Oreochromis niloticus: one gene and its partners. The protein of the gene in region 3 binds, or shares a complex with, the protein of the main gene of each other region. Links are inferred from orthologs where the notes say so. Each region holds a gene or a part of one and is shown on either strand. Other genes may lie near its edges. The genes, in order: gdf5, bmp2b and rgmb.

The links.
Region 1: the proteins of rgmb (region 3) and gdf5 are in contact, whole or in part, in a crystal structure (PDB 6Z3J), measured with the Homo sapiens proteins. The link is inferred for Oreochromis niloticus from reciprocal best matches to the Homo sapiens genes RGMB and GDF5. Residues at the interface, in NP_001353437.1 of Homo sapiens: Gln57, Thr60, Phe63, Val64, Thr67, Ser68, Leu70, Asn71, Tyr88, Leu103, Val104, Ser107, Ala108, Leu110, Gly111, Ile112, Asp114, Leu115, Gln118; in NP_000548.2 of Homo sapiens: Leu396, Arg399, Phe435, Pro436, Leu437, Arg438, Ser439, Asn445, Val448, Ile449, Leu452, Ser455, Met456.
Region 2: the proteins of rgmb (region 3) and bmp2b are in contact, whole or in part, in a crystal structure (PDB 4UI2), measured with the Homo sapiens proteins. The link is inferred for Oreochromis niloticus from reciprocal best matches to the Homo sapiens genes RGMB and BMP2. Residues at the interface, in NP_001353437.1 of Homo sapiens: Lys97, Arg100, Gly101, Leu103, His106, Ser107, Leu110; in NP_001191.1 of Homo sapiens: Val308, Gly309, Trp310, Trp313, Met371, Tyr373, Leu374, Asp375, Glu376, Tyr385, Met388.

What each region holds. Positions count from the first base shown.
Region 1 is NC_031970.2:3,000,434-3,010,838, reverse strand, and holds the start of gdf5 (growth/differentiation factor 5), read right to left. Parts: upstream 3,985-10,405; 5' UTR 3,332-3,984; coding exon 2,842-3,331; intron 1-2,841. UniProt on the Homo sapiens protein: Growth factor involved in bone and cartilage formation. During cartilage development regulates differentiation of chondrogenic tissue through two pathways.
Region 2 is NC_031980.2:4,167,513-4,177,481, forward strand, and holds the start of bmp2b (bone morphogenetic protein 2b), read right to left. Parts: upstream 3,783-9,969; 5' UTR 3,578-3,782; exon of another isoform or gene 3,229-3,577; intron 2,279-3,228; 5' UTR 2,266-2,278; coding exon 1,911-2,265; intron 1-1,910. UniProt on the Homo sapiens protein: Growth factor of the TGF-beta superfamily that plays essential roles in many developmental processes, including cardiogenesis, neurogenesis, and osteogenesis. Induces cartilage and bone formation.
Region 3 is NC_031977.2:17,429,916-17,439,831, forward strand, and holds the start of rgmb (repulsive guidance molecule B), read right to left. Parts: upstream 4,058-9,916; 5' UTR 3,633-4,057; coding exon 3,515-3,632; intron 1-3,514. UniProt on the Homo sapiens protein: Member of the repulsive guidance molecule (RGM) family that contributes to the patterning of the developing nervous system. Acts as a bone morphogenetic protein (BMP) coreceptor that potentiates BMP signaling. Promotes neuronal adhesion.

The DNA of each region.
Region 1 (10,405 bases), on a different chromosome or scaffold from region 3:
GATTTCCCACTCTGGGGGAAAATGTCCAAATCTCTCCTAATCCCAGGCTGGTCACCAGAGCTGAGACAGAGAGATGGACTATTTAACTATTTGCACCAACTAACCTAACCCCAGTAACTACACTTTGGGCAGTGGGAGGAAGCGGAGTGAACCCATAGAGACACAGTGACGACATGCAAACTCCACACAGCTGTGAGACAACACTGCTAACTACTGTTCCTGCATGCAGTGGTTATTTACTGCACTGCTGTACTATCAAATTGCCAAAAATTGGAAAACAAACATTTGATCCACAACCTCACACAGGTAAACAAATGAGTGGGTTAATAAGGGGAAAAATTACTTCAAAAAATGTAATGATCAAAATCACTGCCAGATCAACTTTTAGTCGACTAATCAGGGTTTTAGCTGCTCTGCTTCACACACACACACACACACACACACACACAGCATCATCGGGGGCCCAGAGCAAGACATTGCTCTGGGGCCCCTCAGGAGGTAGGTTCAGCCTTGCATGTGGCAGGAAGAAAGAAAGAAGGAGCGGCAGCAGTAACGGAGGAATAAAGGCAGAATAAAGGAAGAGAGTAAGAGTGAATGAAAGGATAGAAGGTAAATAACGATCAGTTCCTCGTCTCAGCATGTGGACGAAGTCAGCAACGACTCGCTGAACAAATAAAGGCCACATTAAAAGTACATTAAGTGGTGGAAATGTAAACCTTCAGCAGCAGCAGGAACATGAAACTGCGCTCATTTAAAGACGCTTCTAAAACTGTTTTACATCGTAAAGACAACATGACACGGGGGGCTGTGAGCACTGTTTATTTACCCTCACGAGGCCGTATATATCACTGAGAGCCGACCAGATGTTAGAAACACACGGCAGCACACACACACACACAGACTCACAACTGCAAAGGAATAAATATACATAAATATGTGCATATATGTGCACAGACATGTTCCAGACGTTAAAACTGCTGAAAGTTTGACATCAAACACTAATTATTCCTCTGCTACACTACCTGCTGTCACAAGACTAAATTAGTTATTGGTCTTTAGAAAAATGCTTATTAGAATGCATTTCTAATTTCATACATGTAAAGTCGCTCTCTTGATCCCCACTGTTTGGTTTTCTCCCACCAAACCTTAAAGTACCAGATATAGACAAACATAGCTGCCATCACAGCTGTAACCCCCTCCTGCCTGGTTACAGTAAAGCCCATAAGCCCCGCCCACTTTATATTTGCGGAGGTGACCTGAGCCAAACTGAAGCCAATCTGAGAGAGCCATTTCACTTCCTGTCGATCCCAAACTGGCTGAAACTCAAGTGTGCAGTGGAGGGTGCTCGTGAGAAAGTCCTCAATGAACAGGAGTGAAAGGAGCTAAATAATTATTTCCAGCTGTTTGTAGAAAAAAAGCCCAAGTTTTATTTTAGTTTTCACAAATCCAGCATCGATGATGTGTGCAGCCTAAATTAAATCTACACTCGTGTCCTTTAGGTTTTTTTATGCAGCACTTTAATACAACTGAAAACGAAACATATCTATTGGCTCAGCCGGTTCTGTCAAAAAAATCCCAGAAGAGCACCTCCATGAATCTGGAAGTCCAGAGAGTGGGATCTATTTAATTTTTTTAAAAAAAAGGTGTATGTGCAAAGATTAAAAGCTGTAATTTGTTTTGATGGAAGTAGTCGTGATACACCTGCAGGCCTCTGTTCATGCAAATCAAACACGTTCACATCTCTGTGTTTAAAAGTAGTTTAAAACAAAATGAAATGAAGGCATCATCTCTGTTTGTGCTAAAGCGATATCAACTTATGTCTAACTCAAGCCAAGCTGTCTTTCTCCTGTAATACAAGTTTGTACCACAAGGTGGTTAAATGAGTCAGTGTCAGCTTTTACATAAACATACATACATAAAGGAAGTCATAAAGGAAAATAGAATAGTGCTTCTGATTGGCTACAATTCTCAAAAAACGGATTAAACAGCAGGTGGGTGTGGCTTCTGTGATGGGAGGACCATATAAGGATATCTACTCTTACTGACATCACACATATCCAAATCTAGAAAAAAAAAATCTAAAACTGAGAGTTTAGAGCAGCCTTAGCTTTTGGATGACTGAAATCACTATTTAAAACATCACGTGACTGCTGGAAGAGGAGATATACTAATAGCAGAAAATTATGTCCACTCGAACTTCTCGGCTAATCACATCCTGTTAGCTCTGGATGGAGCTGTTTCTTTAAGCTAAGCTAACTGGCTGTCAGAAAGGGAATCTGACCCCCAGTTTGTTGAACGCTCCTTCCCATAGTACTCCACTCACTGCTGACCTTCTGATTTTAACGGGACAATCCTCAGCCTGTGCCCTCAGCACCACCCTCCTCTGGTGCCCCCCACACTGGCCTCCAGTCCCTTAAAGCAGCTCTCATTCTGTGGGACCTGAGGCTCCAGTGGCATCCTTTTTATACTCCCCCTTTTTTAATTGTTAATGAATTGTGGGTGTGAGGTCTGAACTTGCTGTGGGTTCTAAAGTGAGACTTTAAAAGCAGCTAACAGCCCCTATCCTCTGCTCATCCTCTGGCTCCTCAGATCTCCTCTAACCTTCTGCTCCAGCTGCTTTTTAATCCCCACAGAGTACCAGGGGCACAAATGCATCATCAAGTACCTGTCCTGCTGCCCCCACAGCGTGGACCCCCACCCACCCATCACAGCTCAGCTGGGTGTGTGTCTGCCACCATCCCTGCACTAACAGCGTGTCACTGTCACTCTGTTTCGTGGGACTGAAAAGTAACGTGGGAGCACTCCCCGGGACGCACAGAGGCTCGTGGGTGATGCGGTTACCTTGCCCTTTATCCACGAAGCTCGTGATGGTGTTGGCCAGGCCGGCCTCGTGCAACGTGCTGCCGTTGACGTCACCGCTGGAGAGAGACCAGTACAGCGCGAGCATGTAGTCGTGCGGCGTCACGAGCGGCTGTTTGTGGCTCGCGGCCCCCCGCTGCGCCGCCGGAGCCGGCGCGCTGCGGGCTCTCTGCGGGGACGAGGTGCGCACCGCCGCGGCCGCAACTTTTCCCAAACTTCTCCCCGATGAACCTCCACCTCCTCCACCCGCTCGTGCGTGTGCGTTAATGGCAGCGGGAGCGTGCGCCTTATCGTACGCATCCCCGCCGGGCAGTCGGGAGCGCACGGGCTCCGTGCGCCCTGAGCTGATCGTCCTGGACGCCTCTCCTCTGATTACCGGAGGACCTGCGCGGACACGCGCCGTGGGGCCGGGATGCAGGTGAACCAGAGTCCAGCAGCTGAGCAGCAGAGACAGACGCGTCACGGCTTTCATCCTAAAGCGCGTTCGCCTCCCGCCAGGCTGTCATCGTAGCGAAGTGCAGTGAGATCACAAGGAAGCTGAAGCGGCAAAGAACAGTAAATCCGAGTGGGTCATCCTCACGAGAAATGCACGAAAGCTGCTGCCCCCGCCTGAAACTCGGCACAGACACGTGCCAGGCGGTGAAAGCAGAGACTGTAACGGACGTCTACAAGCCGAAGAAACAAATCCCGCACAGCTTTATTGTCCCACGCGGCATGTGTGAGGAGCATAGTGCTGGAGAGATGTGCCCGGCACAGCAGAACGCAAAGCCCGGGCTGAGAGGCGCAGAAACACTCCGCGGAACTGTTCTGTTGGAAGTCTTGTAAGAAACTTCTTTAAATCCCCCTTTTTTTTTCTCTCAGAGGGAAGAATGGCGTAATGCCGCAGCCCTCCCTCCCTCTCTCTCTCTCTCTCCAGAGTTTGAACTCCGTCCAGTGAAAATATTTCACTCACACACCAACCTGCAGGTGCTCGAAAAACTCCTCCAGCGAACCTGAGCGCAGGAATTGGAAACGGAATTCCAGAAAACTGGTTTAATTACCGCGTGATGTCATGCTGCCCAAACTCATTTAACAGCGATATTTCTCCTCAAATCTTCCTCCCTCTTTTCCACCAATGACTCACTGAAGCTGCAACACGGAAAGGACCCCCCCCCCCCCACACACACACACACACACACACTCACACTCAGGAGGGTAAAGAAAAAGTTTACATCACTGAAACGAGCCAAAAAGCGCAGAAATGAAAATCTCCACTCATCGGATTGATCTGTGTTGTGTTTTTCAGCAGTACAGATTATGAGGCGCACTTTTGTGCTTTGTGTCTCTTTGTTCTCATTAACACATATTTATATCGCTCAGCAGCATCTCTGGATGATTCCATGCTTCACAGTTTCTATAAAGGTAAAAAAAATCCAAACTCCAATCTTCTAAACTGAAATAGGTGACATCATTGTTGGGACATCCACCTTTCATGTTTTCAGCACTGTGAGCTGCCATTCTGTCCCACTGCATACTCTGGTATAGATGCAAAACACGAAACACTTGCTTCTCATACGTAAACCTACTTTAAAAAGCCTTTATTCTCTCTTCCAGCAGCCACAGTACACCTGAGTGGACACCGCACTGTCACTACTGTCATCTGTCAGCATCTCACACTTGTTTAGAAGCCATCAAAGAAGAGTGAGACACGGGATGAAGAGCAATGACATCAAATTTATTTAAACGAACATGAACAAAAACCACGAGCACTGAGGCTGTGCGCTGGTGGAGTCATGTGGAAGAAGAGCTTCAGAAGTCTGGGACCAGGTGACTCCACGGTCTGCTCCATCCACCATCACCCCCTGCACTGTGGAAATAGACCACACAAACAAACTATACAAGCAAGCAAACCATCACAAAAACTTGTAACGGTGTCACCTATCCCAGCATGCCCTGCACCATCACAGCAACCAGCGGAAGGAGTTTACGGGTAGAGAAAAGAGACCACATGTCTGTCACCATGTCGTCAGCCGGCCTTCGTGACTGTAATTCATTTACTGTAATTATCATCTCCGTGTTTTGTTAGAAACTTTCCCCACCAGGAGGCAGCGTTTTCACAGACTGCTGGAATATCTTCAGACTTCTAACTCAAGTTCAGCTCATATCTTCTCACAACATGATATAAATGTTATTTATTCTCCTTCTTTTCATAGCAGACGGTAACTTTGGAAAGTTTAAAGCTATTATAAGTACAGAAATTTAAAACAAGTTCCTTTAACATAACAGATGTCCAGGCTGTGTGGCTGGAAAACCACTGATGGGACAGTGGATGGGATTAACCCGTGCCGAGGACGTTGCTGAGACACCACAATGTCCACTTCCACTGTGCCGAGCTTTGTGGCTGTCATGTTTACCAGAATGGGCCTTTTTGTCACTCCTGGGAATTTTGGCATACTGACTAGTGTGATCTTTCCTGGAATAATTAATAGCATACTGGTATTTGAACTCCCTGCTAATGTCAGAAATGCCTTTCTGTTGTGTCCCCTGGTGTGCAGCGCTGTAGCTTATATGTATATTAGTTTATTCTTGTTACTAGGGATGCACCGATCCCGATACTGGTATCGGGTATCGGTGCCGATACTGTAAAATGTGTGCGTACTCGTACTCGTAAAAGTCAACCGATACCATGAACCGATACTAATGTAGCCCGGATGGGAATTTGGTAGTAGATACTCATAATTCCCATGGACTTGAACGCCACATAAGGTGTTCACAGTTCACAGAAGAGAACGGCATGGAGAGATGCACGAGGTTAGCTGAACCAAAGTGAGAGACTCGGCTAGTTTTACTGAGGTTAACTTGCACAAAAGAGTGTGTGACTAGAAAGCTAACTGTGTGAGAGCTTCGCAACAGAGTGTGGGTGAAGTGACTTTTTGTTTCAACGGTCGCACCACCGTCCGTGGAAAACTGTGTTTTCAGCCATGACCGCTGAGGCTAAAGGCTAGCCCGGACTGCTTGGCTGCGCCACGGAGGCAGCTGCTATGGACTGTCGGAGAGCTGGACAGTGACTGGCTAACGCGCTGTAGCAGAGACAGCATCGGGTCCGCAGGGAGTGGATTTAGTGTGGGACTGGTGAACGGCGACCTACCGAGCAACGGAACTGTAAGTCAGACTTTTGTGCTCTTACTGGGGAGAAGAGGATTTTTCTCCATCGTCCGGCGTGAGCAGCAAACAGGCCTGCAACAAGTGTGAATGTGAGTGTGTGTGGGGCCCATGTGTGAATATTGTATGTTTAGTGGATTTATATACCGTGTTTTGGAGTGTATATTAGTGAGTCACTTACCAAAAGGTGATAACATAAGTTGGGTTGTTTAATATAATTTGAAAGGGAATTATTTCATTTATACAGTGTATTTCATTTGGTTAAGGAATTGGAATATCATTTGAGTTTAAAAAAGGGATGTGTTGTACAGTATTTGTCTCTGCCCTTACGTTCAGTAAACGTTTCGTTTGTGTTAAAGAGTTGTGTGGGGTCGTTTCTTTACTACCGGTTAAGTTTAACTTGTGTGTGGCAGAAGTATCGGTTTTTGTACTCGGTATCGGCAAGTACTCAGATCCAAGTATCGGTATCGGATCGGTTTGAAAAAATTGGTATCGTTGCATCCCTACTTGTTACTGTACCTAAATCTTAAGAATTGGCCTCAGGTGATTTCATATGACCTGCAGGCTGCAAATGTTTTGCCTGAATATTAATGAATATGTAGTTTTTGGCCACAGTTAGTACCTGTCGTGTTTTTAGCTTGACTGGTGTTGTGGGTATTTGTTTTTCTGTTTTACTGTTTGCCTCTTGCACACTGTTAAACTCACTTTGTGTATTTTTTCTCGTAGTCTACGCAGCCATCAATGACTGTACTGCATTAGAGTTTTAATGTATTACATCTATTTAATTTTAGTATATTATCCTGTTTAAATTACAGTTAACACACTTGTGGGTCTCATATTTGACTGATTATAAAACCTCGAGTTTTCACACATCCATGTTTACAGTGTTTTGGTCTCCTTCTCTTCCCGGGAGACGAGGCGGTCGGTTCTGATTCTAACACTGTTTGCCAGTTTAATTTATGATGCCACGAGCAGCTCCAGCTCGGTGCCATAACTTTAGTTTTGACCAAACTCGAGGAATAATTAGCAGCCAGGGTTCAACCCCGGAGCTCCCGGCAGTGGAGCTGGTCTCTGGTGGTTTGTAACTGGAGCTGGTTCTGGTTCTGGTGCTGTGTTTGTCTTTCCCTCTCTTTATTCTCTCTGACCTCAGCTGCTTTTCTGCCCACCTGAGGCCATGACAGAAGGACAGGAGTGATCGGATGATACTGTTGGGATCGGCTCGACTGGATGTGACCGGTAACAGATTGCGCTGTTGCACATTCACACCTGACTCCAGGTGACAGTGCCTTAAAACCACATCACAACTGAACGTCATTAATTACTGACCAGTGTGTTTTCACGGCGCACAGTGGAGCACATGAGGCGACTGATTTGGTGCTAAGTGAATAAAATTGAAGTGAATGGAATGAATATTACAACAGTGTGTGAAAGTGCTACAGTAATGGTTTTCTGTGTGACTTTATGGGTCGTTCATGTCATTGTGGTAAAATTTTGGCTCACTCTTCTTCACAGTTCATTGAGGTTTGTGTGGATTCATTTATGCACATCTCACAGCACTTCGGTCGGGTTGAGGTCTGACTTTGACCTGACCGTTGCAGCAGCTTCCTGTCAGAGATTTGCTTCTGCGCTCTGGATCATCGTCCTGTTGTTGACCCAGTTTGGTCTGAGCTTTAGTTGCCAGACAGACGACCTCACATTTGACTCTAGAATACTTTGGTTTACAGAGGAGTTCACGGTCGACTCGATAACTGCAAGCTGCCCACGTCCTATGGCTGCAAAATGAGCCTGCATCCCCAGCCCTCCGCCGCTGAGCTGACAGTTGGTATGAGGTGTTTGTGCTGATATGCTGTGTTTTGGTTTGTCCGACTGTGCTGCTGTCCACGATGGGCAAACACCACCACTTTGTTCTCTCCTGTCCACAAGACATCGTTCCAGACGTCTTGCGGTTCGTTCGGATGCAGCCAAACTTGCTCTTTATAGAAAGAAGAGGCCACAGGGCTTCCAAACAAGCCACACTTATTCAGTCTTTATCTAATTGTGCTCTTACAAAGTTTAACATGCTAACTGAAGCCTGTAGAGTCTGAGATGGAGCGTTTGTGGTTGTTTGTAGCTTCCTTGAGCGTTGCACAGTCTGGCTGAGACGTCCACTTCGTTAACACAAGCTTGAGTGCTGCAGACCGGAAAACTGCCAAAACTTCTGCTTTGATTGGGGTGCTCACACTCAGTGATGATCAGTTAATCAAGTGCATTTGATTAGCAGCGCCTGGCTGTTAGTTGAATCCCAGTGGAAGCAGTAAAAGTGGACTTCACTCATGCGTCTGCATTTCTGATATGTAAACCGTAGAAATGAACGGGGTGTACTTTCTTTTACCAGGACTCTACGTGTGCACGTCTACAGCTCTCTCACTCGCTGAGAGGAATTCCTGCACTAATCAAAATGTAGCACCGTGTTTCCACCTTTCATTTTGGCTCATTTCATATTATGTTTTTGTGAAGTTTTAACTTTCGTGTGTTACTTTAAAGTCTTCCTTGTTTCTTGTAATGCACTTTCAGGAAGGCGTTCCGCTGTTATTGAATGTGTTACAGAAATAAACCCGATGGACACTGCGGGGGTGTGAACACTTTTTATAGCCTGTGTATATTTGAGGGCACTTCCTGTATCGGAGGAATCGTGGGTGTGCGTTTGAGCGTGAAATGTAAACTGATCCCCGGACCTCGGATTCCTGCTCTGGACCCACCGGTCTCACTCCAGAAAACGTTGAGCGCAGCAGATTGGGACACAGTTTGGAGAAAATGTGGTTTTCCTTTGGCAGGTCTGGCTCGTGTGGCATGCAGGACGCGGGGAACATTTCATTCTGAAAGATAAGTTGTTGACATTTCTGAGTCTGAGACATGCAACGAGGATCCCAGGCCAGAGCCAAAACCAAGGACATCAAGTGCACATGGAGTCTGATTCGAGCCAACTGACAAACAACCGTTTCCAGTACGCCTGAGCTGCTCCGAGGCGAAGAGCTGCCTCGCTGCTTTTTATTCTGGCGAATGTCAAAGACACAGCGAGGGATTTATCCTGACGCTCATATCAACAGTCTGTCATAAGTCATGATTTTATAACAAACTGCAAGCGTTTGGAGTCGGTGAGCATCACACCCTGGGACTCCATCAGCTCCAGACCAACAGGCCAAAGGATGGGACCGCTCCAACTGTCAGTAAATATGTCAACGTGTTCCTGAAGTCCTCGCTCAGGTCGCCTTCACATTATTTCACAGTTCCTGTAATTATCATTCTGGTTCTCTGCAGGATCCTTCAGATCATCTACAAAAGTTGGGTGAAGCTCCACCTGTGGTAAAGGGTTGAATGGTTACACCCCTTCACAGCCTTTTTGACTCAACTCGGTCTTTTCCAGTATTCGGCACCGCACACATCCATGTGAAATTTTCTGGGCTAAAATTCACATTTCGGATCTGTTTAAAACTACAGCCAAAAGAATTTCACACAACTCCAAGTGTCACAGTCTGAGGCCAAGATCTGTTTTTGTTCAGCACGACTTTCTCCATAACCAGCTGCATCGTGGGACACGTTTAATGTCTGTGACGCGAAGGAGCAGAAACAAGCATCGATACTCCGGATGTTTGATCTTTTTTCTGATCATTCCGTGGAAAAAACTTCAAAAAGTGCATTCTGGGTAAACTTTCAAGGCTCACGTTACCAAAACAGGTTACAGCGCACGAAGAGGCTCCTGTTACATCATACCCTGCGGTTTTAATTAGCTGCACTGCTGTTGCGGCTGCAGTAATATCGCCGATCTGGCAAAGAAAAATCCTTTTTTATCTTTGATGGAGTGAAAAAAGCTGCCATGCAGATTTCAGGAAAAATGAATTGAAACATGTAAAAGTTTCACTCAGTGTTTTCTTCAACAGCTTGTGTGTCAGAAAAGTTTCATCACATGAACACAAATATTTTAGGGCTTCATTATATAAGCAAACGATCAGCTGTTTCCAAGAAGGTCAGGCGGGAACGGATGTGACTGATTTTACATGAATAGATGCTCAAGCAACAATCGGGAGCTTCTTAACCAGGCAGGGATGCTGTGGGCTAGAGGTCAAAGGGTCACTAAGGTCACTACATCCTCTGCACCTTCCTATATCCAGCTGACAGGTTTCTCAGCCAATCGGAGCTCCTGACCAGGAGATATCTGAGCATTGAAAATTTTTCTTCATGATTTAAGTATTTTTCAGATGTTTGGGCTCGATTTTTTCATGGACGCCTCAAAGAATCTCAGGAAGTCATGAAAAGAGCAGAATGATATTCTCCAGCGTTACATGGAAATAAATATTGATTTTTTTTATTACTTTTAACATCTACAAGCATTAAATAAATCAGATAACCTGCAGATAAGGTTTTTTAC
Region 2 (9,969 bases), on a different chromosome or scaffold from region 3:
GCCCCAAATCCTCTTTTCTTTCTCTCTCCTCCTCTTTCACGTCTTCCTCAATTTCTTTCTACAACAATATTCTCACTCTCTCTCGTTTTCTGTTCTTTGAGGTTTGGCTATGTGAACAAGTCAGGGCCTGTCACAAACGTGTGAACCACAGATATGAGTGTATCAACATTCCTAATTTCTTTTTGTGCTGCATGCCAAAACATAAGATAAAGGCTAATGTTGGGTCATTCATCAGAGACGTGTCTCTGGCAGCCACTTCCTGTGTAGTAGTGGAAATGTTCTATTTGGCATGGGAAATGGTTATTTTTGAAAACTGATAGCAGTGAAACTAATTATCCTAGTGAAATGAATATCAGGCAGCAGATGTGATGAATGATTAGAGCAGTTTGCTTTGATGTGTTGCGTTTACATCTGTAGATACATGCTTATTATATGGAGCAGCCATCAATTGCGTGTCTCCTGACGTGGGAAGACGAACAGCCCAGCAGCTCTGTTAGCACGGGATGAAAGGGCTGGGGGGACGTATGTAAACACAGCCTGAGCGCATTCGTAATGGCCAGTGGTGTCAAGGTGTGTTGGCCGGTGGCAGAGGTTTCCAGTAGCTGGCTGGGGGCAGTCACTCAGCCCGGCTGCCCAGGCCAGGGTTGTTTGTAGTGTGTCGGTGTAGCCACTTGGTGTCATTGCACTAGGCCTCTGGAGAGCACCCAAGCAACCACTCAACCACCCCTCTGACTCACCCCTGATGGAAACTTCCCCAGTCAAACACTTAGAACTCTGTATGAGGACTCTGTGTAGAGCCCCTATGGACACAGTCACTTGTATGCTTTGACAAATGGAACATAGACCCTAAGATGGTGAATGGTGATAAAGCATCACTATATGTTTGACAGTAAACACTGCAGTGTTTCCTTTTTATCATGCGTGAGTCATTTTAATATCACAGCCAGGTGCAAAAGACAATATAGCCTCGGATCAATAGAATATAAGTAAACCATCATTTTTATTTTCTCAGCTGCTGTTTTTTTTTAAGTTATAAAAGTCCACTTTATTTGTAACACTGTGCGAACATCTGTGTAGTTGTTGAACTTAGTGCACCTTATCCAGGATGTATGAGGCTTTTAGTGCCAGTCTTATATATATGAGCAGCATATGTTATCTTTGAAGTGCAACGGAGTTGAACTGAAACATCAAATTCAACAAGCAGCACCGTATCCACCGTACAAACTAAGTGAGCAATTATAGTGTTATTGGAACATGCGTAATGGCGCACTGCACGGGCTCAACGGGGATTTGGAAAGACGAATAAGGCGGGTACCCCCCCCCCTTTTTTTTAACCAAAAACTAATTTCAGCCTTGTTAAAAATGACTCAGAATTCAGTCTGACACGATGACTTTGTCATAATGCGTGTTAGTATAATGTCATGTCGTGTGTTATTGAAGTAACAGGGTGATGACTATCACCTGCGCAAAGGCACACCGCCCTTTATCCTGCTCCTGTGGTGCGTGTCTGGAAAAACTGTTTTCGGAGCCCACGCAAACACCATCAATTATTAAGAAACAAATTACTCCAGGGATACCACCGCCTCTTGATGTTTTAAAGCCTCTGACAGCAGCCCCAGGGGGATGTTCGGTTAAATGTTGCATCACAACATTTGTGGGAGGTAATTAATTGCGTACGAGATGCTTGTTTGTAAGTCGCGTTACTGAGTTTTAGGCAATCCCGAGCGTTTTTAAAAGTAAGTTGTAACTTAGACGCGTGTCACCTGTAAATGACTAAACCTCTATAAAACAGCGAAGACTCTGAAGTTCAGTCTTGACGCACTGAGTCATGTTTAAATATAGGTTTGGGTTGTCTGAGAGAGCCGAGAAGCTTCCCGGCTGACAGGTAAAGGTATGTCACTAATACATACCTTCATGGTGAAAGCTTCTAATCGTGTTGGCCTTGCTGGCGGCTCTCTCTGCGTGTTTCCCCATGCTCTTGGGTCGTTTGGTGCTATGGTCTCCGTTTGCTGAATGCATACGGTAAAGGTCCACCATATACTGCGGCACCACGGCTTGCTTACTCGGGGTCGGCCTGCGCCCCAGTCCAAACACATTGAGAAGCCGAAGCTCAAAGTCGTTGAGGAAGCTCTCTGACTGCTCTGGGGTCTGCTTCCCGGATTCGCTGTATTTCCTCCGGCCGACCTCGGGGATAAGTCCCGTAGCACCTTCCAGCAACACCTGAGCGAGCAGCAGTACCATGAGAGAGCGGACCACGGCGACCATGATCAGTCAGTCCCTGTGGAGAAAGTTGGTTTCTGTCAATACACTGGCGCTGAGGTATTGACATGAGGTAGACGCGGCAGGGACCTCACTGCAGCATTCCCTAAACTGTGTGTGATCCCCCTACACAGTCGGAACGATTGAAGGAAATCAGGTTAAAAGGGAAGACAACGCTTCACTTTGAAGTGGGTAAAAAGAGAGAGAGAGAGCGAGAGAGCGAGACCCCCACCGGCAATATAGCGCGTCAAAGCTGAAAGAGAAGTTTGGTCTTAACATGAAGTGATACATGAAAATATCAAGGTGAGGAAGCTCTGAAAGAGAAGAACAAAAAAACGAGGGACTGACTCAGAAAAAACAATCAAAGGATTTGTGGATAGAGATCAGACAAAAAGTCTCCAATTAGAGGAGATAAGAAATCACGTTACGGGAGGTGGTATGAAAAAAAGAAATGCAAGTCTGTGTAGCCCGACAGATCACAAGAAGCATCAAAGAATACAGTGAAGGGAAACGGGTTAGTATGCACAGCAGCAACAGATGCAACCAGACGGTGTTACAAGCGTCTGTTTGCAGGGGCTTTGACGGTCGTGTGTAATCATAAGGGATAGAGTTACTTCAAGAGGCTCGCAGGTGTTAGATCTGACGTGCGTACCAGATGTAGCCCGGGACAGGACATAAAAAAACATGAAAAACCTAAGCATCATCTGAGCAGCACGACTTCCAAAGAAACAACCCTTTTCCCCTCTTCTTCTTTTCATAGTTTTCTCCGTGTGTAGGAGAACGCTTTAACTTTTACGCACACACCCTATAATCACATATAAACCAAGAACTAGCAGGGAGGGGGGGGGTCACTTAGAAAGTAAGCTTTTCCTCGTGTAGCAAGTTATTGTACAAACATTTCATTTTTTTTTATTTACGCCAATTAAGTACTTTAAGCGTTTATCAAAAAACCGTGAGTTTTTATTTTACCTGACGAGAAAGCGCTGTGTCCGGTCGTCGTTCCACCTTTGGGCTCCGATAAATTCCACATTAATTCGTGTTTAATCCACGTTGCTTCTCCTTGGGGGACCAAAGACAGCCCATAGCCTTCGCCGATCGCCTCTCACACATATTATCACCAGCTGCGAATCGGGTTAGGTCTTGGTCAGTCCCGAAAGGAAAAAAAATTATGTGAATTCTACGAGGAAACGGCTTCGCGTAGGCATAACCGATCTAAGTATAAAGAAGCTTCTCTGAACATCTTTACCAGCGAACAGTTATCTTCTGCTAAAACTGAACTTTTCCGCGAGAGAGAGAGAGAGAAACACGATAAGCGGACCTTAAAGTGTCGCTCTTTTGGACCTTCTTGCTGCGAGTTGGAGAGCGCGTCGCCTCTCTTCTGTGCGCCGCACTGGAGTGTTTGAATTGATTGTTGCCTTCTCTTCCCCCAGCGCTCTTTTTGTCGTAGTGATGTCACCAAGGGGATGTCAATCATTTGTCCACAATAAAGCACCTCCTGCGGACCTCTACCCCTGAGGCTCCAAACGTTTTCATGACTGAAAGGCTTGGACATGTAACTCTCCTTTTTTTCCCCTACCTACGCTCATTATACATCATTGAAATGAAAACGAAACAAGAGACAGAAGAAATAATAAAGTCAAGAGCAGTTAAAACCATGCTGTTGTTTTTCCAGATTGTTCTTTTTAAATGTTTTTTAGTAGCATCAAAATGGCTTTTGACAGTCCCTAGATGGTTTAATACTCATGTGAATTTGACCACCCCTGAGCAATAACATGTCAGCTCCTGCTGTTACATAGACACATTTTTGACCAGTGGTGTTAATGGCTGGATCAAAAATGTTTAGTTTTTGGATTAAGTCTAACAGATAATGGGTTTATAACTTGTTGCTTTAGTGGTTTCAGAGGATTAGATGCTGCAAAGTGACTGTCACATTCTCCTGCTGAACTTCACTTTGTGTGAATGTTTGTGCATGTGTGACTTGTACACGCGCTCCCCGCTGGCTGCATTAGGCTTTTTCATTTCTTTCCAGTTCGCAGCGCTTTATCAATATATCTGTGGCAGCTTTGGCTGCAAGAATTGCTGTCTTATTCTTCAGTACTGCAGACGAGCCAAGTGATAAAATCTTGTAAGAAAAATTCCCCAAGAAGGCAGTAATGTTTTCACTAAGTTTATAATTTAGAGTTCACACAAAATTGCATCTTAAAAAGGATGACCGGTTAAGCGAAGCATGTTAGCGCACCAGTTGATTTGGCTTTTCTAGGAAAAGTACTTGGTTCTTTTGTGTAGCCGTTGAAAGCACAGATGGGTGAGGGAAATTTTGCTGCTTTGTTTTTAGCCTGAGGGGTTGTAGTCAGTAGCATTGGTGTTTATGTGATCTCCATAAAAAAAACAGCCCCCACTGAGTTCCTCTGCTCTTATCCATTAGGTGATAATGGTGGCTGTGTTTGGGCCAAAGCATACTGACTTCTTCGCAAGATAGCGAGAGATTAAATCCCACAGCGATCACAAGATATTTGTCTTCCTTTAGGACAGTAATATTTTATCAGGGATAATCCTGGATCATCCACTTAGCAATTAAAACATGGTAAGGCCAATGAGTGTGTGCTGCTGTCTGAGTTACAGTGTTTCCTTTCCATTTCCTTGCTGCATCCAGGCACTTCAGAGTTTAACTTTTTTAAGGTGCTGAATCTAATTAGCTTCTTTGAAATCTACTTAGCTTATTTGGATCTTATTATTGTTTTGGTAATGTATTTATTCATCAGAATCAGCAAATGGTGACAGATTGTGATGCAGTCTTTTTCATGGACTTTAGTTCTACTACAGGTCATTTATTCATAAAGATTTTCTCCATTGTTATGTTAATCTGCTGGCAATTGAGTCTCTGTTGTTGCCAAAATACCACTTGGTAAACCTAGTGCTCTAAACCCAAATCCAGGTAAAAGCTGCATTCAGGCTGCTGTAGATTGCAGGATAAGTCCTCCCACAGCAAGCTGTGAGCATCTTTAATTACTCGAGTGACAGGATTAGAAACAGAGGGCCTTATCTGATTATTTGTCCGTCTTTTTCTTTTTGTAGGCATTTTTGTGGTTTCACTAAATGATCATGTCAACGTTTGTGTGTGTTTTGAAGGCATGGACATGCATAAATTGTGTGAGTGTGTTTCCTTTGGCTCAGCTTATGTCAGGCCAGTTCTGAGGAATGTGCCAAGCCAAGGCTGTTGAGGGACTTGATCAGTGATGCCCAGGGTGGTTTGAGAAGATCTTGTGGCTCTGACACTGTATATGTCATTGCTTATCATATCGCTGCTGATCCAATTACATGCTGATTGAAAGAACAACATCACAGAATGAAACCCTCATGGCCAGAGAGGGCGGGTAGAGATATGCTATCTCAAACTCAAATGAACGACCTACTGAGAGAGTCTCTGAGAGCCTTAAACTTTGACTTAGCCAGACACTATTAACTCAACAACCACCACTAATGGCATGCTTATTTCTTCTAACAAGTATCTGTTTATTTGTGATTGTAGTAAATATTCTTTCAAAGTTATGGAATCAAATTCAAGGTCAACATGTGCTCAAATGGCTCTCTGCTGTTTTAAAGACCTAAATGCACTGCTGTGCTGGTCCCGCTGCTTATAGTAAAAGGAAAAACAAGCCTGTGAGCTGTACAGAGTTTCCCACATGTATGTTTAGCTTCAGCCCCATGCTTTCATAATATATATGTTTTATTTCTTTAAAATACGTAAAATCTTGGAAAAGTCCCTCTCCAGACATTTATTAAAGTTTATTAAATAATATTATTTATTAAAAGAACTCACGTAGATTCACCACAATTAAATGTTCAGAAGCAGTTTTTTTTAAATGAATATAAACCCTTATGCAAAAAAGGGCTTTCCCTAATTTAATATGCATATCAATATTGGTCCATGCCTGCTCCCTCATCCTCTTTCCACTGGATCTGTGAGCTTCACTCATAAGTTCTCCTGCAAAATGAAGGAAAACATAGGTCCAGTTGTTAAGCAGTTGAGGAAAACCTGCTGCTTAAACTGTAAATCAGGAGGTCCAGAATAAAGAGAAGGTGCTGTTCAGCAGGTCAACAGTCAGAAAAAGTCAGAAAAAAAAATCAATTGACAGTTATTAGTTAATAGCAATCTTTTAGCTGTAAAATTAAACTAAATGAAACAGTCTCTCCTATATAGACGTTATGTATGTTGGACCTGATTACATTATCAAATCATATTCTGTTATTAAAGATAAGGTTGCCACTTCTATTAGTCCCCAGCCTGTAAGTTGGAGGGATTGGTTCCTAATGTGGGTGTTAGCACATCTGTGTCCATGAGGGTTGATTTGGGTCTAAGTGATGTACATTTTTGTGACTGTGGACTCATCTTTGGAAACTTTGTATTATGTAAACTGTAATTGCAAGGTGGACTTCAATGGGCTTCGCAGAAGTACAACAGCAATGACTACATGTCCACAGTGTCTCCAGCTGCCCATGTCCACAGCAGAGTAAAGTCGTCGCTTTAGGTTTGTTATGCATGAAACCTGGCTTTCTAAATCCATGCTTTAAAACCTGTCATTGCAACACTGCAGTCTTTGTCTCACTCTCTGGTGTGCCCTGGTGTGCCTTCTAGCATATAAAAACAATCACATTGGCATGTTAACAAGGTTAAAAAAGGTTTTTTAGAAATTAACATTTCTAGCGTCTGCAGGTACAAAGCAATTAAACACAATTTCAAGCTGACACAACCAAAATTTCCCTGATTTTTTTTTTTAAGTCTGCAATGACCTACAGGTAGGTCAAAAACAGTGCTGTGGAGCATCTGTCCATCCTCATAACAACAATTTAGCTATAGACTGTTGTTATCAGATTAAACTGGTGGTCTTGGAAATCCTTTTGTCCCAGTCGTGAGGACTAATATGACCAGTCTCTGATCCGACCCCTGAGGCCTTAAGTCTGTGCTTAGAATCAACACAACTGAAAATTCCCAGACTCACAAACACTGTCGCACAATCACCGCTTTGTTCCTGCTTTGTGACATCTTTTCGTTCTTTGAGTTAAGAGTTGTTTTTCCCAAAATTCTATATGAAAATTTACTGCCTTTCTTTGACAAACGGAAGGCAACATAAAGCTAAAATTCAGGTTAGACTGGAAAAAATAGCAGGTTCAGGTTTGCGTTATAAAACACTCAGACCCACACATGTACAAATGATACATTATGTAATCATTTAAAAGTCATATTTCTTATTGTTATGCTCCATTCATCATTCAGCTTTGGGGGGAAATCTTCTTTTCTAACCAAAAACATAATATACAGTAAACCACCACCATGTACTTTTGCTTCATCTAATAGATGTATCTTTTTTATGGAAACTCCCTTATGGCAGAACAATACATGGCACTTTTAAAGAAAGCATAATGAATGTATTGAAGGGGAAATGTTTGAGGTTATTTGAGAGAGATGAGGATAGTGGTGTTTTAACACATAGATCCTGTCAAAAAAATCAGAAGAAGACATGGCTTATTGTCCTCAGTACGGTGCTTTACATGCTCATTTGTTGTCCCATGGATGTGTCTGTCTGCACATGTTATGGTGGATGTGGACGGCGCAGCCTTCTCTTGTCATCACGCACATTCCACAAGTAAGGGGGCAGACAAAGCCCCGAGATGACACTGCAGATCTAACTATTAGCCTTTCACCTGCTGTTAACAGTAGCTTGGCTAGACACAGGGCCTGCATTCCTCTGCCTTGATGTAGCCAGATGTAGTTTTAACAGACTGTATGTGTGTCCCCAGGGAGATAATCTTCAGAGATGTTGTTTGAAACCAGGAAACAATTTGTTGTTGTGACTCATCCCTAATTCAACTGCAAGGCAGTGGCGTCTTTTTAATTTAGAAACCAGTAATATCTTCATCAGTCCACGTGTTTGACAGCAGAAGCACGACTGCTGCACTACGCTAAGCACGTGCACATGGTGCATGAAAGAGATTGTGGCAAAATGGGACACATTTCAAATAGGTTTGTCCCAAAATGGAAACCCACCAAGGTCAGAGACGGCCAGCTAGAAAGCCAGAGTCAATATTTATGGATACTGAACATGTGGCACGCTTCTCTACCCACTAATTTGAGCAACAAGTCCACCTCCAGATTATACGACCTCTCAGAGATCACAAGAGAGGGTCCAAACCTTGCTCGCATGGTTCAAATATTGAGAAGTACGCTGAGGTTGGTCGCACACAAGAAGCTGTGCGTAATTTAGCAAATTGGCAGAGTGTTTATTTGTTTGTGATTTAATTTCCTGTGTAAATAGGGTGCAAGGAAGTTTTGATCAGCGAATCGTGGTTGCTCCTTCATCCACAGAAGTTGTTGCTATTTTAGATATTATAATTATTGTATTGTGAAATCACTTTGGGCTGGCTTTTGTCAAAAAACAACAATAAAAAAAGACTTTTACACTCAAATCCTCCACCATAAGTCTAAAAAATAATGTATTTTGTTATTAGATGCATCTTTTGAATTTCATGCAGTGTCCTTTTTCGTGCCTGGTAAACTGCTGCTGTAAAATCAGTATCAGCAGTGTAAAACATTTAGCTCTGTACTGACCTCACACTGTGACAATTTACATTAAGAATCACATAAACATTTTAAATACATTTAGCTAGTTAACTAGTTGGTATAGCTGCACTGCAGCTACTTTGATTTTAAAGAGAGAGGCAGAAAGACATAAATACAGGGATCTGCCCTTTGAATGCAGCTCCACTCATAAAGACACCACGCGTCACTCAATTATATGTCTGCATGATTAGAAGCTTGGGCTACGTAAACAGCCAGCGTCAAGATTTACATTTTACCGCTTAAGCACAAGCAGCTGTTTACAGGCCAAAGAAGGAAGGAACACTTAGTATCCATACATGATGAGGAATAAGGAACATGCATCTTCAGCAGATGATGCTTTCAAGATGCTTTCAATTAAAGGTTGTTTATGTAGATCTAATGGAATATTTGGTTGGAATATTAAATTGCTTTTTAATCTCTCAGCTCTGCTGCTTCTGGGTTTTAAACATGTAAGTCTTTGCAAGCATCCATCTGAGTAACACTGCTTTTAAACCCCATCTAAAATGATGCTTGTTTCTGTGGAACTATATGGGCAAACACACATAGTGGAGTACCATGACCTTTAGAAGAGAACACATACTGACAATATATTTAATCAGGTTCTGTTGGTGATGAAATACCAAGACTCATGCATAGGTTCATATATACAGTATGAAACAGTCTTAAGTCACTTATTCTTTTATAATTTGCTTCCAAGGAGACTTTCTTGTCATTTTTAAAAGTGAGAATAGTTCTCAAGGCTTTCTGAAACTTTTTCTTTGGAGATTTTCTAATTTTCTTTCCAGTCCTTGTGCCTGAACACTTTCAGAGAAACACATGACCTGTGAATCATTCAACAAAAGCGGCTAAGTCAAGAGGGGGGAGGGGGTGGGCATTGTTGTATCTACACATAATAGAAAACTTAGCAAAGAAACAATTTTAAGTTGTATCTTTAGGCATTTGTTCCTATTTCCTTAGCTGAGTCTACAAAAACTGCCAAAGATAACATAGTTAGACAGCCCTTTTGCAACAATAAAGTGATTCCCAAAGAGATATTAGCTGAAAACTTGGCATATCTAGGCGTGGAGGGCAGTGTGCCCTTAACAACTGAG
Region 3 (9,916 bases):
GCAATCGCACAAGACTACCAAGGTTACGTGTGAAGAAAGCTTTGATTTTAAGCACGCAATGATATGAGTCTTTTACAGTCTAATAAAAACCTAATAAAACTAGAAAAAGAACCAGCTGTTGATTGAAAGTCTGGATCAATCATCAGTGCCGCTCTGTGAGCGTAATAAACCTGAAGTGTAATAAACCAAAGAGCAACCGGAGAGAGGGAAGACGAAGCATGTTTTACCACAAGCAGTGAGATAAAAGTGCCCATACAGCCAAGGAGCACACAGCATATAGAACATTATAGACAAAGAGAGCAGGGCAAAGCAGCTGTGCTGTGAATACAAACACAACACAGTGACTTTTTGAAGCTAATAATCTTCGTCAGCAAGGTGCTGAATAATTGTGTTAGTGATCCTGGGTGGCTTCTGCAGAGGAAAAACATAATCAAAAATGCACCTCGTGTAGCCATCAGAAACAGATTTCCCTGATGTTTTATCTATTTCTGCGTTTCTAAATGTAACGAGGGTCAAAGTCGCCTTTTATATCATAGATCATCGGAGCGAGAGAGAGAGAAAGATAGAGCGAGAAAGAGATTAGAGACCAGACCTAATGCATCAGTCACAACGTGCTCCAATTAGATTAGGCCAGAGAGAGAGAGGCTCTGCAGTGTATGAGCAGCTGCACACACACACACACACACACACACACACACACACACACACACACACACACAGCAATAGCTATCTTAGAAAGAATGCTGCTTGTACTTCCGTTAACCACACAAAGTCGGTGATCTTTAGATGATGGTCTCTTAATGGCCAAGAAAAGGCCGAAAGTGCACGAGTTTTTACAGAAACGATCACTCAAACGTTACTCCATCACTTAACCAGCTGGCAGCACACGTCCGCTATTCTCTGTCGATTTATCTGATTTTAGAGCATGAAGGAGTGTGATGCCACCAAATGGGGGCAGTAATGCTCTGAATTTTGCCATTTGGGGTGCAGGTACGGACCCTCACTCACACCGCGCTTTAGAATCTTTCTCCTAACTGTTAAATACTGACACCAACCCACAGACACACACGCACACACATAGGCTGCCTCCTATGCCAACCACCGCTGCACAGACAGGTCTGAGCACTGAGGACACATTGTGTCTTTGACTGGTGCACCAACAGCCTCCTTCTTTCCCTCCAATCTAGCCTGCAGTACCCAAATGCGACTCCCAATCTAATCAGAGCAGTTTGTTCTCTTTCAGAAGTTATCGGGATCATGAGCTGCTGCACTAAAAGCACTTATTCACTAATATTTTCTCAGAAGGATAACTTAGCGAGAAGCAAGCTGACCCTCTGACTGCAGGGATCTGGCATTAAAGCATCGACTTGCAAAACCTTACTGACGGAAAGCTTCTGTTGAAGTTTACACCACTGTGTCGCTCCCATGCTGACCCTGCACTCTGACCTCTCTGAAATAAAAACTACGATTTGCTTAATAACGTTTGTAATATTTACACATTACATACTAAAGCACAATTTTCTTATTTGCTACCTAAAACATCCATGTGATCTCCTTTGTAAACAGTCTTTCTAAATTAGCATATTTTTTGTCAAGTAAAGTCGAGGTGATGAATACTCCGGTGGCTGGCAGATACTATTAAGAGGAGAATACACAACTCCTCGTGTGTTTAAAATTGCCTTCAACATAGCTCCTTATCCTCTGTCTTCCTCGCATTCAATATAATCCCACAGGACTCGAATCTTCTTCTCTCTCATATCTTCAGTTTTCTCTCTTTTTTTTTCCTTTGTAGCTTCAATCACTCGCCTCCTTCAGCACTATTCTGCTTTCAGCCCCCTCAGCCTCATTCCCTGGCCAGCCTCACCTCCTTACTGCCTCTCTTCCTGAGGCACCTTCTCTACCATCAGACAGAGGTCATAAGATCAACCAGCTGAATCTCAATGGCTCGGTTTAGCATTTTTTTTTTTTTTTTGCCTCCCAATCTCGCTGCCTTCAACTCCTTTGATCTCTGGAGATCAGGAAAGGATCTACTGGGATCATTTCTCAACCAAGGGAATAGCTCCAGAAGTGCTTATTGATCACCTTGTTGTGTGCACTCTCTCACAAGCCGAGCTCAAATCACACAAACACCCTTTCTATAGCTTTAAGCTGCAAAGCTTTACAGGAGCTCACTCCAGCGTGCACTCTCTCTCGTCGTCGGCCAGACACTGTGAACAATAGTCAACAATTCAGACACTCCTTCCTCCCTGCCTAAACAGACACATGGGGCTGACAACAAAGAAATATATCTACATACCCCAAAACATGTACAAGTTTTAACAAATAAAACATTCTGTTTGGCTCGACAAACTAAAAAAAGAACAAAAAAAAACCACACACATTCTTTCCAGGTGACGCACGTGCAGCATAGGTGCCAAGAGGGTCTTTAATGTGAAGTGGGTCTCTCTCTGTGTTCCCGTTTTGTCCGACTGCCTGCGCTGTGTTAAACTAATTACTGGAGGTGTGATTGCTCTACAGACAGCCGACCCCCTGCACAGACAAAAACACTCAGACTCAGCCAGATTTGATTTTTTTTTTTTTTTTTTGCTGCCTTTTTGCACCAAATGTAAAATGCTTCTGCATCTTTACAAGACAGAAAATGACCAGCAAACAGTGTCACAAAAAAGAAGTAAGACCTCTGCAAAGCCACAGAAAACAGAAGTATGTCAAAACTGTCACATTTGATTTTAGTGTCAGAAATCTTTGCAGACACCTTGTTAACATCCAGTTAGCAGGCTCTTCATTTATTAAATTCATTGTTTGTTTTGGGGGGGGTTTCTAACAAGCCTTGGATCATTGTAGGGGTTTTAAAAGATAAACATCCACAAATATAAAGAGAAATATGTCGGACATTCAAGAATATGTTCTTAAATTCGATTATCTGATCCCGTTTCTTACAATAGACGTTATTAATCAGCATCAGCTCAACATTAACTGTTTATTTAGGTTTGGCCAGATTTAAATCACAGCACAACTTCTTTTTATATTTTATGATGTGCAGCGGTGGAATAGATTGTTTTGTTTTGTTTGTTTGCTTTTTTTTCTGTAAATGAGCGCACTAAAAGAATTGGTTTATATGGACAAGAGGAGAGGTAGCTCTCTCCTGCCTTCTCTCCCCCTCCTCCATGAGCCATTAAGAGGCAGACAGGAGAATGACGGCCCAGGAGAGAGGAGAAACTCGATCCGTGCTCAGACTGCTGCACTGCCGCTTTAGAGAGAGCCATTGTCAGGCAGCACTGGGCCCAACACAAGGATCAACCACACAGTGATTACAGACGCTTAATAACTAACAAAGTGTTTCAATCACCATCAAGTGATAGCGACTGAAAAGAAATGTTGTTACTATGGTTATAGCTGATGGAGTCAGCAGTAATTAGTTCATCACTGAATGTGAAAGTAGATAAATTACAGCTCAGTTGCTACTGTGACCCAAAGAGATTCTGGGTGTTGCAGTGTTGCAAGTGTGATTAGTTACCTATGTGAGCACCGCAGCACAGCGCGATGATCAGCAGTAGAAGCGGCCGGAAGCGGCGCACCATAGACGGGGAGGTGAGGCGCTCAGCCCCGCGGCAACAGCATCCGGCTCTCCCCATCCCCGTCCATGCAGGGCCAGGAGGGGAGAGTGGACAGACCTCCAGAGGACGAGGACGGGTGGTGTCCAGGCCTTCTCACTACTTCTTCTGCCTCTTCTTCTTCACTCTTCTCTCCTTCCTCTCCTCCTCGGGTGCGCAGGGGCATTAAAACACAGCTGCTCCACGGAATGCAGGGCGGAGGGGGAGGTGGAAAGGCACAGAGAGGAAAAAAACAATACAAAGTACAACCAGAAGTCACTTCGTCGACACTTTTACTTTTTTCTCTCCTATAAAAATCCAAACCCCACGTGATTGGAGTGCGCTCCCGCTGCAAGCCGGACTTTTGCCTTGATTACGATCACTCTCCTCTCTCGTCCCAAACACGCACAATCATATCCCTCCCTCCCTCACTGGCCAGGCGGAGGTTTCTCCTGCTCTCCTCCCATTTCACTTTCTCCTCCTCCTCCTCTCCCACCCCAGCAAATCAATAGAGAATCAACCAAACCCTGCTGGCGGAAAACCCGCCTATACCACACTGATAGAGAGAGAGAGAGAGAGTCAATCAAATGGGACAAAAATAAATAAATACAAATTTGATAAAAGTTGTGAAGTCTAGGTAAAGCAGCACTGTATAAACTAAAGTAATCATGAGCTTATTGATTTATTTAATTAACTATGAGCACGATCAGCAAGAACATTAGAACATAATACAAAAAGGACGTCGAACATTTGACCATGAACAAAAATCGTATTAAGAAAAAAAATCTTGACTCACGTTTAAAATGTAAAAGAAATAGAAATACTAATGCAAACAAGTTGCAAAAATAAGCAAACAATTAGTGACGTCAAGAAAACAACGTCAAAGCAGTTTGCTTGACTTTTAACCTTTTCCTTCCTTGCAGCAGTTTCCTTTCACTCTCCGCATTTGCAAGAAACCGAAAGAAACATAAAATGTAAGTATTCGGTTATGTGAGAAGGGAGGCTATGTAATAGCTGTGGAAATGTTAACGGATTTTACAAGGTGTAATTATAATGGCATTCATTAACAAGTAAATAAATCATATTTTAAGATATGATGTGACATAATCAAGACTCCGTTTGTTAGAGAGGAATAAAAGAATATTGCCCACTACCCAAGCCTCTCGAGAGTAACAATAAAATCATATTTTCTATTTTAGTACTGATAGGATTCCTATCATTCTTAGTACTTCTACAGTTTGTACAAATACAGGTGAGTGCAAACGAGTTCCCTAGGAGGAAAAAAGGCCAGACATCCTTTAAAGATGTGTCAGAAATCTTAAAGAATCTTTTATTTTGTATATCTGTTGTGTCTCAAATCCCACATCAAATAAATGTTTAAAAATTAACCATATTACACTCGAAATACTCCAAAAGGATACCTCTTAAACTCATAAGGCATATCCAGCCTACTCCATGTGTTCCCCATGGCTATGATAGAAATCATAAATCATATAAATCCACTTATTAAACTCAGGGATATACAGTGTTGTGCAAAAGTCTTTCTTCATATTTTGCTTTCTTGTGATTTTTTATAAAGAGCTCTTGAGCAATGCTTCTCCAGGCATTCTACAGATCCTTCACAGTTTTTATTTGTTTTGGACATTAGCTGCTTTTTCACTCATTTTCACTCTAGTCCTTATACTTGATCATTTGTTTGTTTGTTTGTTAAGCAACTTAACACTGACCTATGAATCATTCAAGCATAAACTGGTATCCAACACCAGTGTTGTGTCTACACTTAAACTGTAACTTTAGACACTTGGTAACTAGCAGTCTGTTTCAAAAACACAGCATTTGTTTTAATTTCTTTAGTTGACATGATGTGCTGTGTGTCCTTAAATTTGGGGATATTTTAATGAAACTGCACAAGCGAAAGACCTTAATAACTATCTTCAGCAGACGAAAAGTATCTAAAGTCATGTCCTTAAGAAATAGGAACAAATCCAGCAAAGACCTGATACAGGACCTGACAGATGCGTCTGACCCTGCACTCCATCCATCTACTGTTTGCTTAAGTCTCATCAGAAATGGTTTCGGTGGAAGGGTGGCTGTCAAGAAGCTATTCTTAAGAAAGGGAAACAGAGGGAAAAAGGCTGAGGTATGCCAAATTACACAAAAACTAAAGACTCGAGACCTTTGCACAGTATTGTAATTAATAATTAATTAATCTGTGAAATTAGTTGGATATTTTGTGTGCTGTTATTCAGTCTGTATTCACTGACACAGTGGCTTAGTCCATGCTTGAGTTTTTATTTTGTGCTTCCTAGGAATTAAACAAACTGAATGGAAAAACATGTAGCATACATTAAATTTCATTTAATAGGTTTGTATCCTTCCTGACTGTATTGGCAAAAATAAAAAATATGTTGACAGACACAGAACTAAACACAATGTCGAGATGATGTCTGTAACACACCGTCCAGACATGTTCACACCGAAACCATCATAATGCTGTAAAGTAAAAAGAACAAAACTGCCGAAAGTTCAGGAGGGAGTGTAAACAGCCTCCCAGAGATAATGACAGCCACTAAATATATGCAAAGTAACTTGTACCTTGCTATCTTTATTGTTCCAGCTGTAATTCATGAATGAATAACTTTCTGAAGGTTGTGGATTTAAGATCTTTAATAGCAACAAAAAAGAAAAAAAATTGAAACTGAGCCAAGCCTGCTTTTTCACGTAAAGTTTACAGTTGGGTAAATTTCAAAGCAAGCACCGAAGCATCTACAGTTAGATAATTTTTTACTAAGTCTGCAAATCTACCCTGTTTTTTCTCTGTCCGTACGTGCAGGGCTTACTGCTGTAATCTTCCATTATCTATTACGTTCTGCCAAACTCTACAACCCTGGCTGTAACCTGTTTATATGGATGTGAGCATAAGCAAGCATTCATCAAATAACACTGCTCTGTGGCTACTTTATGTGCTGTGTGTCAGAGCAGCTGCAGCATGACTCGGATTCAGTCACGGCCACTCTGAATGCGTCTCTAAACTAAACACGTAAGTGATGAAGATTTTACAGTGAGTGTGGTCAGGGCAGATAATGTGTGTCTGATTTTTATAACGTGCATGCTGCTGCTGAGGAAGGCCGTCTGTGATGACTCAGGAGATCTTGTAACATATTGTTTTGCAGTATGTGTATGTTCATACTTTTTAACTAATTTTGGCATACTACACAAACGCATATGCATGTATGTGTAGTATGTGCATGCATATTTGAAGAAAAAATTAAAGAGGAAAAAACAATGTAAAGTGTAAGAAGAAAAGCTTGAATTCACCTTGGAGTTGAGCCCAGAAGTCATACATTTCTCAGTCTCTAAACTTCCAAATGATATTTTCTCATTTGATTTTTTGATGATGGTGGTTGAGAGTGCTAGTCTAAAATATCCCATAGGTGCTCATTTCGAATGAGATGTGATGAGTGCAATACATAAACAGCATTTAATTGGCTTGATTTTCATCATCATCAAATCGTTTAGTGACCCCCCTCATGTCTGGTGGATGGGGTCATTGTCACTATGAAAGAGACCACTCTTACCAGGAGAGACATATTACATCATAAGATAAGTATCGATTTGTATTTGATTTGTATCGAACCTTACCTCTTAGGGGACAAGTGGACGCAGATCAGCAGTGAACTTTAGCATTACCACAAGATCCCTGTGATATAGCAGTGTCAAACAGAGACTTTTGAGCAGGAGGTGTTATCACATGGTTTCATGATTACTGACATTGACATTTATTAGTGGTAGTGTTTTAAGGTACTTTATGGTAATTCAAGTATTGCTATTGTGATGCTATTTTATACCTCTACTCCACTATACTTCAGAAACAAACAACACTTTTCCACCATCCACCCACTTTCTTCTGCTTATCTGTTTCAGGGTTGCAGTTGGCCTCATCAAAAGTGTCATAGCGTGACGTCACAGTCTGTCACAGGGCTAACGGAGAAACACTAGTTAAGCAAACATACATCTTTTATCAGAAGCTAGAGTATTCAGGGAGAATCCACTCGGGCATTGGAAGAACATGCAAACTTCCTAAAGACGGACCCCAGCCTGCAGATTTGAACCAAGGACCTTCTTACTGTGAGGCAACTGCCCTAACCACTGCACACCACTGTACAAATCCTAAATAGTTACTTTCAAGAATAAAAATGACTCACATAATATAACACATTAGATTTAGATTTATTTAAGTTAGCTGTTAAATTGCTGGCTATAATATATAAATAAATAATTCCTTGAAAATTATTTTAAAACTAAAAAACATCTATAGCCCATATATACATTGGTACATTAGACAGCGCTCCTTGTTACCATCAAAACATCAAATGAGGTGAATTCTTTTGGAAGACTGGTGTTCATCCTGCCAGCAGAGCCTGGCTAAAGCTGTTTTAGGGCTCCTACTGGTCCAACATCCTGCTAAGACCCATAATGTTATTTAACTCTAATTTCCCACCCAGCTGTACATCCTGGATACCTATTATGACAGAAATTAAGCAAGCAGTGTTTTTGACAGTAGAACAGCCTCCTGACTGGCCAGTCTGTCTGTGATGCACCTCTCAGCAGGATGAAGCACGCAAGGTGAACATTTCATTTATGCTGACACACGGAGCACAGACTGGTTAATTCAATTACACGTGCGCATATCTGGTGCTTTTCATCAAGACTAATTTCATATTTCATTCTAATGACCCATCTGCCATACGCACACACACACACACACACACACACACACACACACACACACACACACAAGATTTTCAAATCTTGCAGAAATGGACTCGATATAATACTTCAAATCACATTTTGAACCTCAAAATTGCCTTTAAATTAATGAGGAGCAGGATTTGGTCCCCACTAGTATAGTAGCATACCAATTTTTGGTCCTCACATACACACACACACACGCACACACACACACACACACAGACACACAAAACACATGATCCTATTCATGAACATTAATTCTATATTCTGTACTAATTCATTTAATCAATTACACCACAGCTGAGACCAGAGATCAGAGCACACCGAAATTAACTCACCCCCCTCCAAACACACACGCACACTTTGTCCAGTAACACATGCATTCACACACACGTGCATGAATGCATGTGTTACATACAAAGGCCATCTGTTTCCAAACTTCCAGCTTGTCTTCACCTCCACACCTCTGCCTCCCATCTCCACTTCTGTCTTTCTCCACCTCCACCTCTACCTCCCCTAAACCTCTCTACTGCAAACAGCCTATCATTCAACAGCTCACACCACTCACCATAACACACCTGTGTGTGCATGTGTGAGTGTGCCAGAGTGTGTAAGTCTTGACAGCTCGCGTTGTTGCAAACGCATCAAAGGCACAATATCAAATTACTCCCACACTTGTGCATTTTTTAAAGCCATCAATGTAAAATTAAACTAAATCTCAACAGTTTATAGTGAGAATCTCATGTTTTCAGCACACACACAAATACAGCTGTATATTATAAATGTATTATCGCCTATTTTTTAAGCTGTTTTAGAAATTGGTAAAGTGCAGTCTCATAAACCAAAGTAACCGTGTGCTTTACCTGCAGGGTGTTGCTGTGCACTTTATCTTGAAACACATACGTCACATTGCAGCATTAGAATGATGAAACTTGCATGTATAAAGTACTTGCATGTATAAATTCAACATATCATCTACATACAATTTAAGTTTAAATCTGACATACAAACATGAGATCATAGGCTGGCTAATGTATCCGGGGCAACTCGAGGCTTAGTATCTTGTCCAAGGACACGTTGGCATGCAGAGGGGAGCAACCACCAACCTTCTAACTAATGGTTGATCTGCGCTACAGTCTGAGTCAAAGCCACCCACCCAGTTTAGAAAAACTGAATAGTATTTTAAACGAGTTGGAATATTTATATGTTTTGAAGGGGTTAGGAGGCAATTATAAAGTCAAATGTGGAAGCAGGATCAAGTGTATTATAATTTGTGTGAGGGCATCACACTTTTTTATTTTAAAAAATAAAACAGTGTCACACAGTGAAATGATCAAATAATGCAGTGAAAACAGGGTGAAATACAGCCAGCCAGCATTATGTAAAAACAAAAGAATGAACAAGTAGCCCAAAATTGGACTTAATCACATTCCACCACTTCACCGTACGCAGCATTGTAACAAACCGTGCCCTTCTCATTCTCTGTGCCAGCCACCAAAGCACACACACAAAACCTCCACACACCTGATTCCTGACTCATAGATGTGTGGTAAAGGTAAGAAGAGCGCACAGGT